Canis lupus familiaris: one gene and its partner. The protein of the gene in region 1 purifies or fractionates together with the protein of each later gene. This does not show direct contact. Links are inferred from orthologs where the notes say so. Each region holds a gene or a part of one and is shown in the gene's direction. Other genes may lie near its edges. The genes, in order: CASP8 and tumor necrosis factor receptor superfamily member 10D-like.

Region 1 (3,811 bases):
AATTGAAATCCTTTAAGTTTCTCTTGAGCCGGGAGATCTCCAGATGTAAATTGGATGATGATTTGGTAAGCCCTGGTGATGTTTCACCAAGATCTGGTCCTGAGGTTGGGCCAGTCAGTGGGGACTGCTGCGACTGGAGAGAGGGCTGGTCCAGTAAAAGCAACCTGGACTCTCACTTTTTAACTAGGGGAAAGGAAAATGTTGTTGGGCCCCAGTGTTGCAGATACAATTCCTTTGTATACTGTGAAGTACTGCTCACATTAATTATCAGGAGCAGGGCAGAGTCAGTAGCTCGGAAAGAAGACTGGTGGTGGAAGCATAGCCCAATGTGGGGAAGGACTGTGGTGAGCTGGAGACATCTTCCCACTTCTGCAGTCTCTGAAACCACCTGGGACCTGAAACTCTGTATATGTGCATGTGCGTGTGCATGCATGTGTGTACGTGTGTGTGTGTGTGAGTGTGTGTGTGTGAACGTGGGACTGGAGGTGGATCAGGGACCAGAGGCAGTGTCAGGAGAGACGCAGCTCCCAGGGCTGTCACTATGGGGACCAGGCTACCTTGTCTCAGCCATGCACCTCAAGCTGTTTCACAACTTCACCTAATGGTGTCCATGGCTGATTTCAGCACAGGGCTTGGGGCCTGGGTGACACCTGATGTCACTTTTCCTCTACCTTCTCATTTCTGTCTTCTTGGGCCATACAACACAGAATTGCTTCACTAGTGCTCTACTGGCTTTATAAGACTGGGATGTCCTGTCAGGAGGGTTAGTTTGGGAAACTAGAGTAGGCCCTCTGTTTGGAGAAAGTGGAATGAATGAATGAATGAAAGAAAGAAAGAAAGAAAGAAAGAGAGAGAGAGAGAGAGAGAAAGAAAGAAAGAAAGAAAGAAAGAAAGAAAGAAAGAAAGAAAGAAAGAGAGAGAAAGAAAGAAAGAAAGAAAAAGAAAGAAAGAAAGAAGAAAGAAAGAAAGAAAGAAAGAAAGAAAGAAAGAAAGAAAGAAAGAAAGAAAGAAAATCTAATCTAAAAACCAGTATGTCTCAATCCAGTCTTCCAACTTTACTTCTCTTCCTTCTAGAACTTGCTTGATATTTTCATAGAGATGGAGAAGAGGGTCATTCTAGGGGAAAGAAATTTGGACACCCTGAAAAGAATCTGTGACCAAATCAACAAAAGCCTGCTGAAGAAAATCACAGATTACGAAGAATTAAACAGAGGTAGAAATAACTTGACTACTGTGAATTAGCAAAATGTATTCTTAAATTGACAGATCCCTCTGTCACAATTATTTCTAATCAAATGTTTCTTTTTTAATTCAGAGCAAACAATGAACCTTCAAAGAAGTCTAGATGAAATTTCAAATGGTAATATGAAATATGTTAAGACTTATTCAGTTAATTTATTATCAGATACCCCCATTGCTTCCTCTCCCCACAACCTTCTATCACGTCCACATCTTAATGGACGTGATACCTACTACCAAGTAGGCGGCTTGGTGCCTACTTGTCACTCTCTACATGTTGAAAGATACACAACTATTGTCAAAAGACATAGGCCTTCAGCCCCAGGCTGACAAGTTTAAAATAGGTGAAGAGTTAGTAAAACAATTTTTATTCTGTGGACTGCAAGGATATTATGTTCAAGGTAGTCCATGAATTTTCATTTTAAAGGGGACCTTATGGTATCCTTGGTGCTATGTGTTTCTTTACCAAAATACCCTCCCTTCTATGTCTCATTCCAGATATGTCTCAGTTGCCTATAAGGGAGGGATCCGTGAAGATATTGCCAATGTCGGACTCTCTAGGAGAACAGGACTATGAATCAGAGGTGTGTAGAAATTCAGACTCCTTTTTCTCTTTGGATTGCAGATTCTAGTTCTTGTATTCCTTAGCTTTCAAGTTTCCAGATAAACTAGTAAGAGGCAGATGCTTCCTGGAAATTTTGAGAAGTATAGAAAATTTTCACAAACAGACAAATTTAACATGTGATTTTCTTAAGTTTTAAAAGTAACAAGCATTAAAATTTTATTTTAAATCCAAAGACAAAGGCATTGGAATAGTTGGAGGGCTGAGGAATCGAGAAGCCTCCTGGCAACCCTTTCAGCATCTGCCCTGCTGAAGCGGGAGAAGGCTTTGGGAGAAAAGTGTAGTGGGACTGGGAAAAGCAAAGCCTTTTCTTTTAGGGTGACATTTCAAAACTGTTTCTCTGTGCTGATTTAGGGGTAAGCAACAAATACTCATGATCTAGCCGTCTCTATGTTCTCATCTCAATGAGCTGGGGAAAGAATCGCCTTTCTAGACATAATCATTTGGGTTTATTAACCGTCAAAGATTCACCAACCACATTTTGATCCATTAGCCCTTTTTACTTCCTCTCTGTGGCAGGAAGCAGAGGAAAACCTGAATGCTACCTGTCCAGGGGGAGACTTGAAATTAAACTGAGAGAGACCAGTTATGAGTGGGCTCCTGAGCAAATCACCAGACCTACCTAGCCCTGAAAATCGAGGATTGACCAAAGTCATGTCGCACTTTGCAAATAGTAAAGCACTCTACTGAGTGTTCATGTCCCCACTGAACAGCTAACCGTCCTGAGTGCCAGAAAGATTAGGTAATTGCACAAAGTCTTAAGATTATTAAGTAGTAGAACCAGGAATTTGAGCCTTTAGTGTGGAGCCCTTTTCTCTACCTCGAGGAGTTGCATGGGTTTCCCAGTAAATGCTGAGTATCTCAGCATTGAAACAACCCTGGGAAAGTCAGGACACAGGATACTGTAACCTGCAGTTAGGCAAGACCTGCCTGGCTAGTACATCTCTCTCTTTCAGTCCCTGTGGTCCTGAGAGCCAAATTAAGTCATTGGCTTTCAAAATCCTCAGACCGTACGATGTCATGTGTGAAGGGCAGGCCCTGGGCTGTTAGCCTAGAAACATAGATGAGTTGACTAGATGGCCAGTGGAAGCATGAGGTGACAATAGGCAGCCCAGAGACAGCATTAAGACATTCATCCACTCAGCATTTTCCTGATTGAATGCTCACAAATTAATACAGTCTAGTTCCTGGCACAGCTGTTAGTTGTCTTGAGCAGAAACAAGAACAAATGGTGAAAATATGTTATGATGACAACAGTGTTAATATATGTGCAAAGTGCTCAAGAGGCCCAAGTACTGGGACACTGATTTTACACACAACTGTGGGGCAGAAATGTGGGGATTCCGTGTCAAAGGAACAGGTGGAAACTAATTCACCAGAGAAATAATGTCAAGTTGGGGTAGGGCCATGGAAAGTGCACTTGTGTCCCCGTTTGGCTAAGAGGACAGCCTCACTTCTTACTAGGGAGTTATTTGTTCACATCCCAAGTGTTTGACTCACAGAGTCAGCTCTTGGGCTGGATTTTTGTTTTCCAGACATCGGACAAAGTTTACCGAATGAAAAGCAAACCTCGAGGATATTGTTTGATCTTCAACAATTATGATTTTAGTGTAGCACGGAGGGAAGTGCCCAAACTTCAGAGCATTAAGGATAGGAATGGAACAGACTTGGATGCAGGTACAGTAGAACCCTGAAAAGAAGTGAAATATTTCTAATATATAAGTTTTTTAATCAAAAGGTGAGAACAAAAATTGTACCAACAGGGCCTCATGTTTCAGAAAAAAAATGAATGTAATCATATTTCCTTGTGGAAATGAAGAACATTTTTATATATTTTCTGCTTTTGTTTTATTAACTACTTTTTAAACCAAAGTAATGTATATAAGACAAAATATCAAGTCTTATTAAAAGGCTTATAATAAAAAGCAGCAATAATAAGCTTTGCTTTTA
Region 2 (4,295 bases), on another chromosome or scaffold:
TCTACATTTCCTGCTTACCCATCAGACAGTTGGCATCCTCCTCCCCTCGGAATATGTGCAGCAGGCTGCTGTGACCAAAATAACTTTGTCTTTGCCCTCTGCAGGTTGAGATACTGTTCCCTTCGAACCCCGAAAATCACCAGCCAGCCCTGGACATAGAAACATTGTTGCTGAAGGAGGGGCTTGAGGAAAGCCCCCACCCAAGGCCTTTGGAGGAGACCGAGGAGGGCATCGAGCTGCAGGATGTGGTGGTCAGAGAGAGCCCCCCAGCTCCAGAGCAGGTGGTACAGACTCCTGCTCTGGCTGTCTCTGTGTCACAGAACCAGAATGAAGTGTTCCCCTCCCTTAAGAGTCTGGAACAGGTACGTGAGCCAGCCAAGGGGGTCTGAGTAATGACAGCCTGTGCTCATGGAGCACTCAGTGTGTGCAGAGCTCGGTGTTAACTGGTGCCATGCATGCTTTTGCACAATTCCTGTGTGAGTTTCCTGGGACAGCTTAAACAACAGGTGTTCCTTGTCTCCGTGTCCTGGAGGCTGGAAGCCCAGGGATGGCGTGTCATCAGGGCTGCATCTGCCCGAGGCTGAGAGGGCCCATCTGTGCCAGGCCTCTGGAGTCTTTGGGGCTCCTTGGGGAAGCGTCACCCCACCCTCTGCCTCCATCCTCACGTGGCATCTCCCTATGTGCAAGTCTATGTCTTAATTTCCCCTATTTGTGAGGATACCAGTCACTGTTGGAGTGGGCCCCCCATGACCTTGTCATAACTTTCCTATCCGCCGTAACCCTGTTCCTGGCTGCAGTCACATACACAGGTTTGGAGTCTAGTGTCCAGGGGGATGCAGTTCCACCCACAGGAGCCCACAGGTGCATGACGCCACAGCCTCTGAGCGCGTGCATGTCTTGGGTTGGCACACCAACACCCGCTAAGTGGCTCTGGGGAGTAGGGCTCTTCAGGAGGAGGAGGACAGAGCCCATGTTTAGGGAATGATGCGGTCTGGCTTCTGAATCCTACAGGCAGGGCACAGGTGAGTCCCAGGGAAGAGGTCCCAGGGCTTCTGTGCCAGATGCCGTGGACCCTGGGGCCCCCTGGCATGGGTGCAGAGGTTGCAGACTGCACTGTGGAAACTGCATTCCTGGGTTGGGTGCTCTTAGGCATCATTTGAGGGAGACAGCCCCTGAGTGTCTTCAGACTCCCCGAGGCTCTGAGAGGAATCAGTACAGAAGCTGGGAGCCCTGCCAGCTCTGAGTGTCAGGAGGCAGGGGGCTCCCTCTCAGGCTGTGCCATGAGGACACCTCCCTTCTTACCCTGTTTTACAGCCAAGCAGCCAGTGCACAGAGCAGGGAGTCGTTTTCTGGGGCCAACAGCACTGGGTGCGAGGCAGAGCTGGGGTCTGAAGGCCTGGCTTTCATGTCCACAGTAGGTAGCCTGACACCGATGGGGAACCTGACCTCCCCCATAGGAGAAGTGGGCTTTGGAGCTGCGGCTCATGGGCAGCTGGGTGCAGCTGGTGTGGGCCTCCACTGGGAGACTGCATCTGAGTCTCCTAGCATCTCACTATGCATTTCTATGGACAAGTGTGCTCTCTGTTAGCATTCCCTGGAGCAGAGCAGGTCACCCCCAGGTGACAAAGTAGAGCTGTTCCCCACCTGCCCAGGCAGGGACCACTGAGCTGCCTCTGGGCCCAGGGCATGTCCTGGGGGACAGTGACCCATAGGACATAAGTGGCCGGTGAGCTCTCTGCCCCCATGGTGGATTCCTCGAAGGACATCACATATCCATAGAGGCCCACCTGCCCCCACCCTGCTCCTTCCTCAAACCAGATTGTGGTTCTGTTTCAGCCTCCTTCTCCTGGAACAATTTTATTTTTTTCCCTCCACAGGAATATGCAAAGAGATATTTTGTAAAAGATACATCAAATGAAGGTACATATTCTGAATTCCTTTTTTTTTTTAAGATTTTATTTATTTGAAAGAAAAAAAAAGATTTTATTTATTTGAAAGAGAATGCGGGGGTGGGGCATGAGCAGGGGGAAGGGAGAGGGAGTGGGGAGAAGCAGAAGCAGACTCTACTGAGCAGGGAGGTCAATGTGGGACTTAATCCCAGGACCCTGAGATCATGACTTGAGCCAAAGGCAAACACTTCACTGACAGAACCACCCAAGTGCCCCTGAATTCCTCATTTATAGCAACTGTTAAGCCTTCATCTTGCTTGGCCTATGTGTCAAGGCCTGGTGTCCTTGTTTCCAAGGACCGTGTGCCAACCTGAGATGCGCTTTTTCACACTCAAGAATGACGTTAGGGGAAACAGCACTTGTCAAACATGAGTTTTGGGGGGGGGTTCATAGAAATTAGATACCGCTTTGATTTTATCATATGTTCATGTCTTTTAAGGAGGAATGAATGGTGGTAGGAATGCTTGTACCCTTGATGAATAGGCCCTTCTTGGTGGTCATCAAAGATTGAGACCTACCACATGCCAGGTGCTTTTTGTATAGTTCATCTTCACAGGCAGCTCTACAAGACCGCCCCATTGTCCAGGCTTAAAAACACGACAGTCTGAAACTGATAGGTTGCAAAACTTGTGCCAGGTCTCAGATCCTAACCGTGGTCCCCAGCCGACACCAGGCCTTCTCAGTCTTGAGCAGCCTACAGCCTCTATCAAGAGATGTTAAGAGAGAGAAGCAGGGCAAGTGAACTGCAGCAGACTGTGGATCCCCGTGCAGCCCCCAACTGTCCCGGATCCTTGGCTCCTTCTCCCAAGCTCCAGTGATGAGCAATAAGCAGGGCAAGAGCTGTGGCCCCACCTCAGTATCCTGGCCTCGTACCCAATCTGTGACATTGGTAGGGGGTCGCACAGGACCTTCTACCTCCTGGGTATGGTGTGCTAGCTGTCGCCCAGTCCCCAGGGGACAGGAGGAGACACCTGTGATTGCACCCCTGGGGAGTAGTGACAAGAGGTGCCACACAGTCCTCCCAGAAATGTAAAGTGGTTTTTTTTTGTTCTTATTTCTTTCAGGTACCACCAGGCTCTATTATGAATTTGAAGAAATGATCCTGGACAAGAACTGGAAATCTCTGATGAGACTTATCGGTCTTGAAGAAAAGGACATTGAAACTTGCGAGCACGAAAACCCAGACAATTTGACGGAGCAGCATCATAAGATGCTCCTCAGGTGGAGGAACAAGCTGGGAAGGGAAGCCTCAGTTTTTAAACTGTTGGCTGCCCTACATAAAATGCAGCTGCATATGTGTTTGGAAAATATTATCAACGTACTACTTGTTGAAGGCATCTTAGGCAGGCATGCAGAGACCTCAGATTAAACTTTTGGCATGGGATTATGCCTTCACACAGGATCTGACCTATGCCAATGTCTACCTTTTGGAAACTTCTCAGTTTTCAGTTAGAAAGAATCATGTGCGTCCATTAACAGTGTCTCACTACATTTTAGTGAGAGTGCTTCCTGCCAAGATTAGTTGTGGGAATCACCCGTGGCCAAGGTGTAACCAGGGGTGAGCAGGTCCTCACTAGATTAACATTCCTCAGGGAACTTTCCCCAAGGGAAATTGTTTTTCTATTTAAAACAATGTAGCTGCTTGTGCTGAAGTCTTTTATGTCCAGGATGTGAATGAAATGCACAGGATATAAATGAAATGCAGTATTCCTCAATCACACCTTAGTGACTGCTTTCAGTCACTGACCACAATAAGCGAAGCATTTAATTTTATTGTAAAGTTAGCATTAGTTTAGTAAGTATAAGTTTTTCTGTTGTGTTTTCCTGTGTTTGTGGTTTTTTTTTTGTATTTATTTTGATACTGTGCAGGAGTGGAGGGCAGAGGGGGAGGGAAAGGGGAGGAGAAAGTTTAAGCAAGCTGCCCAGCCTGATGGCGGGCTCCACTACATTCAAATCAAAAGCCACATGCTTAACCAATGGAGCCAGTCAAGCACTTTTGTTATTTATTTTTAATAAAATTTTTATCTTAAATAATGTTTCCTCTTCTTTCCGGTGTGTACACAACTTTGGGTGTGCTATCCCTGGCAGGGGGTATCGTGCACAGAGGAAGACATGGACCCCCAGGATTTAATTTGCCAGTGGGAGGGCTCTGGCATGGGGGTCCAAAGCTGCAGAAGCCTCTTTTGGTTTGTGTTCCCCAGGGGTCTCTATGTCCAGAAATACTCATGCCTCAGAATGTGAGCTCTGCTCTGCCCTCCTCACCCCAAACATCAGTTCCTGGATGTGTTCACAGATTAGCCTGCTTATTTCCATTCAGTACCAAGCCTTTGACTTCCAGTGAAAGTA

The links.
Region 2: the proteins of CASP8 (region 1) and tumor necrosis factor receptor superfamily member 10D-like purify together in Homo sapiens (affinity purification with western blotting; 13 studies listed by BioGRID and IntAct, counting the BioPlex papers as one, with this or other methods). This does not show direct contact. The link is inferred for Canis lupus familiaris from reciprocal best matches to the Homo sapiens genes CASP8 and TNFRSF10A.

The regions. Positions count from the first base shown.
Region 1 is NC_049258.1:10,251,673-10,255,483, forward strand, and holds part of CASP8 (caspase-8), read left to right. Parts: coding exon 1-65; intron 66-1,074; coding exon 1,075-1,213; intron 1,214-1,315; coding exon 1,316-1,360; intron 1,361-1,737; coding exon 1,738-1,823; intron 1,824-3,396; coding exon 3,397-3,538; intron 3,539-3,811. UniProt on the Homo sapiens protein: Thiol protease that plays a key role in programmed cell death by acting as a molecular switch for apoptosis, necroptosis and pyroptosis, and is required to prevent tissue damage during embryonic development and adulthood.
Region 2 is NC_049239.1:47,463,227-47,467,521, reverse strand, and holds the end of tumor necrosis factor receptor superfamily member 10D-like, read left to right. Parts: intron 1-104; coding exon 105-362; intron 363-1,314; coding exon of another isoform or gene 1,315-1,392; exon of another isoform or gene 1,393-1,414; intron 1,415-1,877; coding exon 1,878-1,920; intron 1,921-2,079; exon of another isoform or gene 2,080-2,652; intron 2,653-3,013; coding exon 3,014-3,318; 3' UTR 3,319-3,770; downstream 3,771-4,295. UniProt on the Homo sapiens protein: Receptor for the cytotoxic ligand TNFSF10/TRAIL. The adapter molecule FADD recruits caspase-8 to the activated receptor.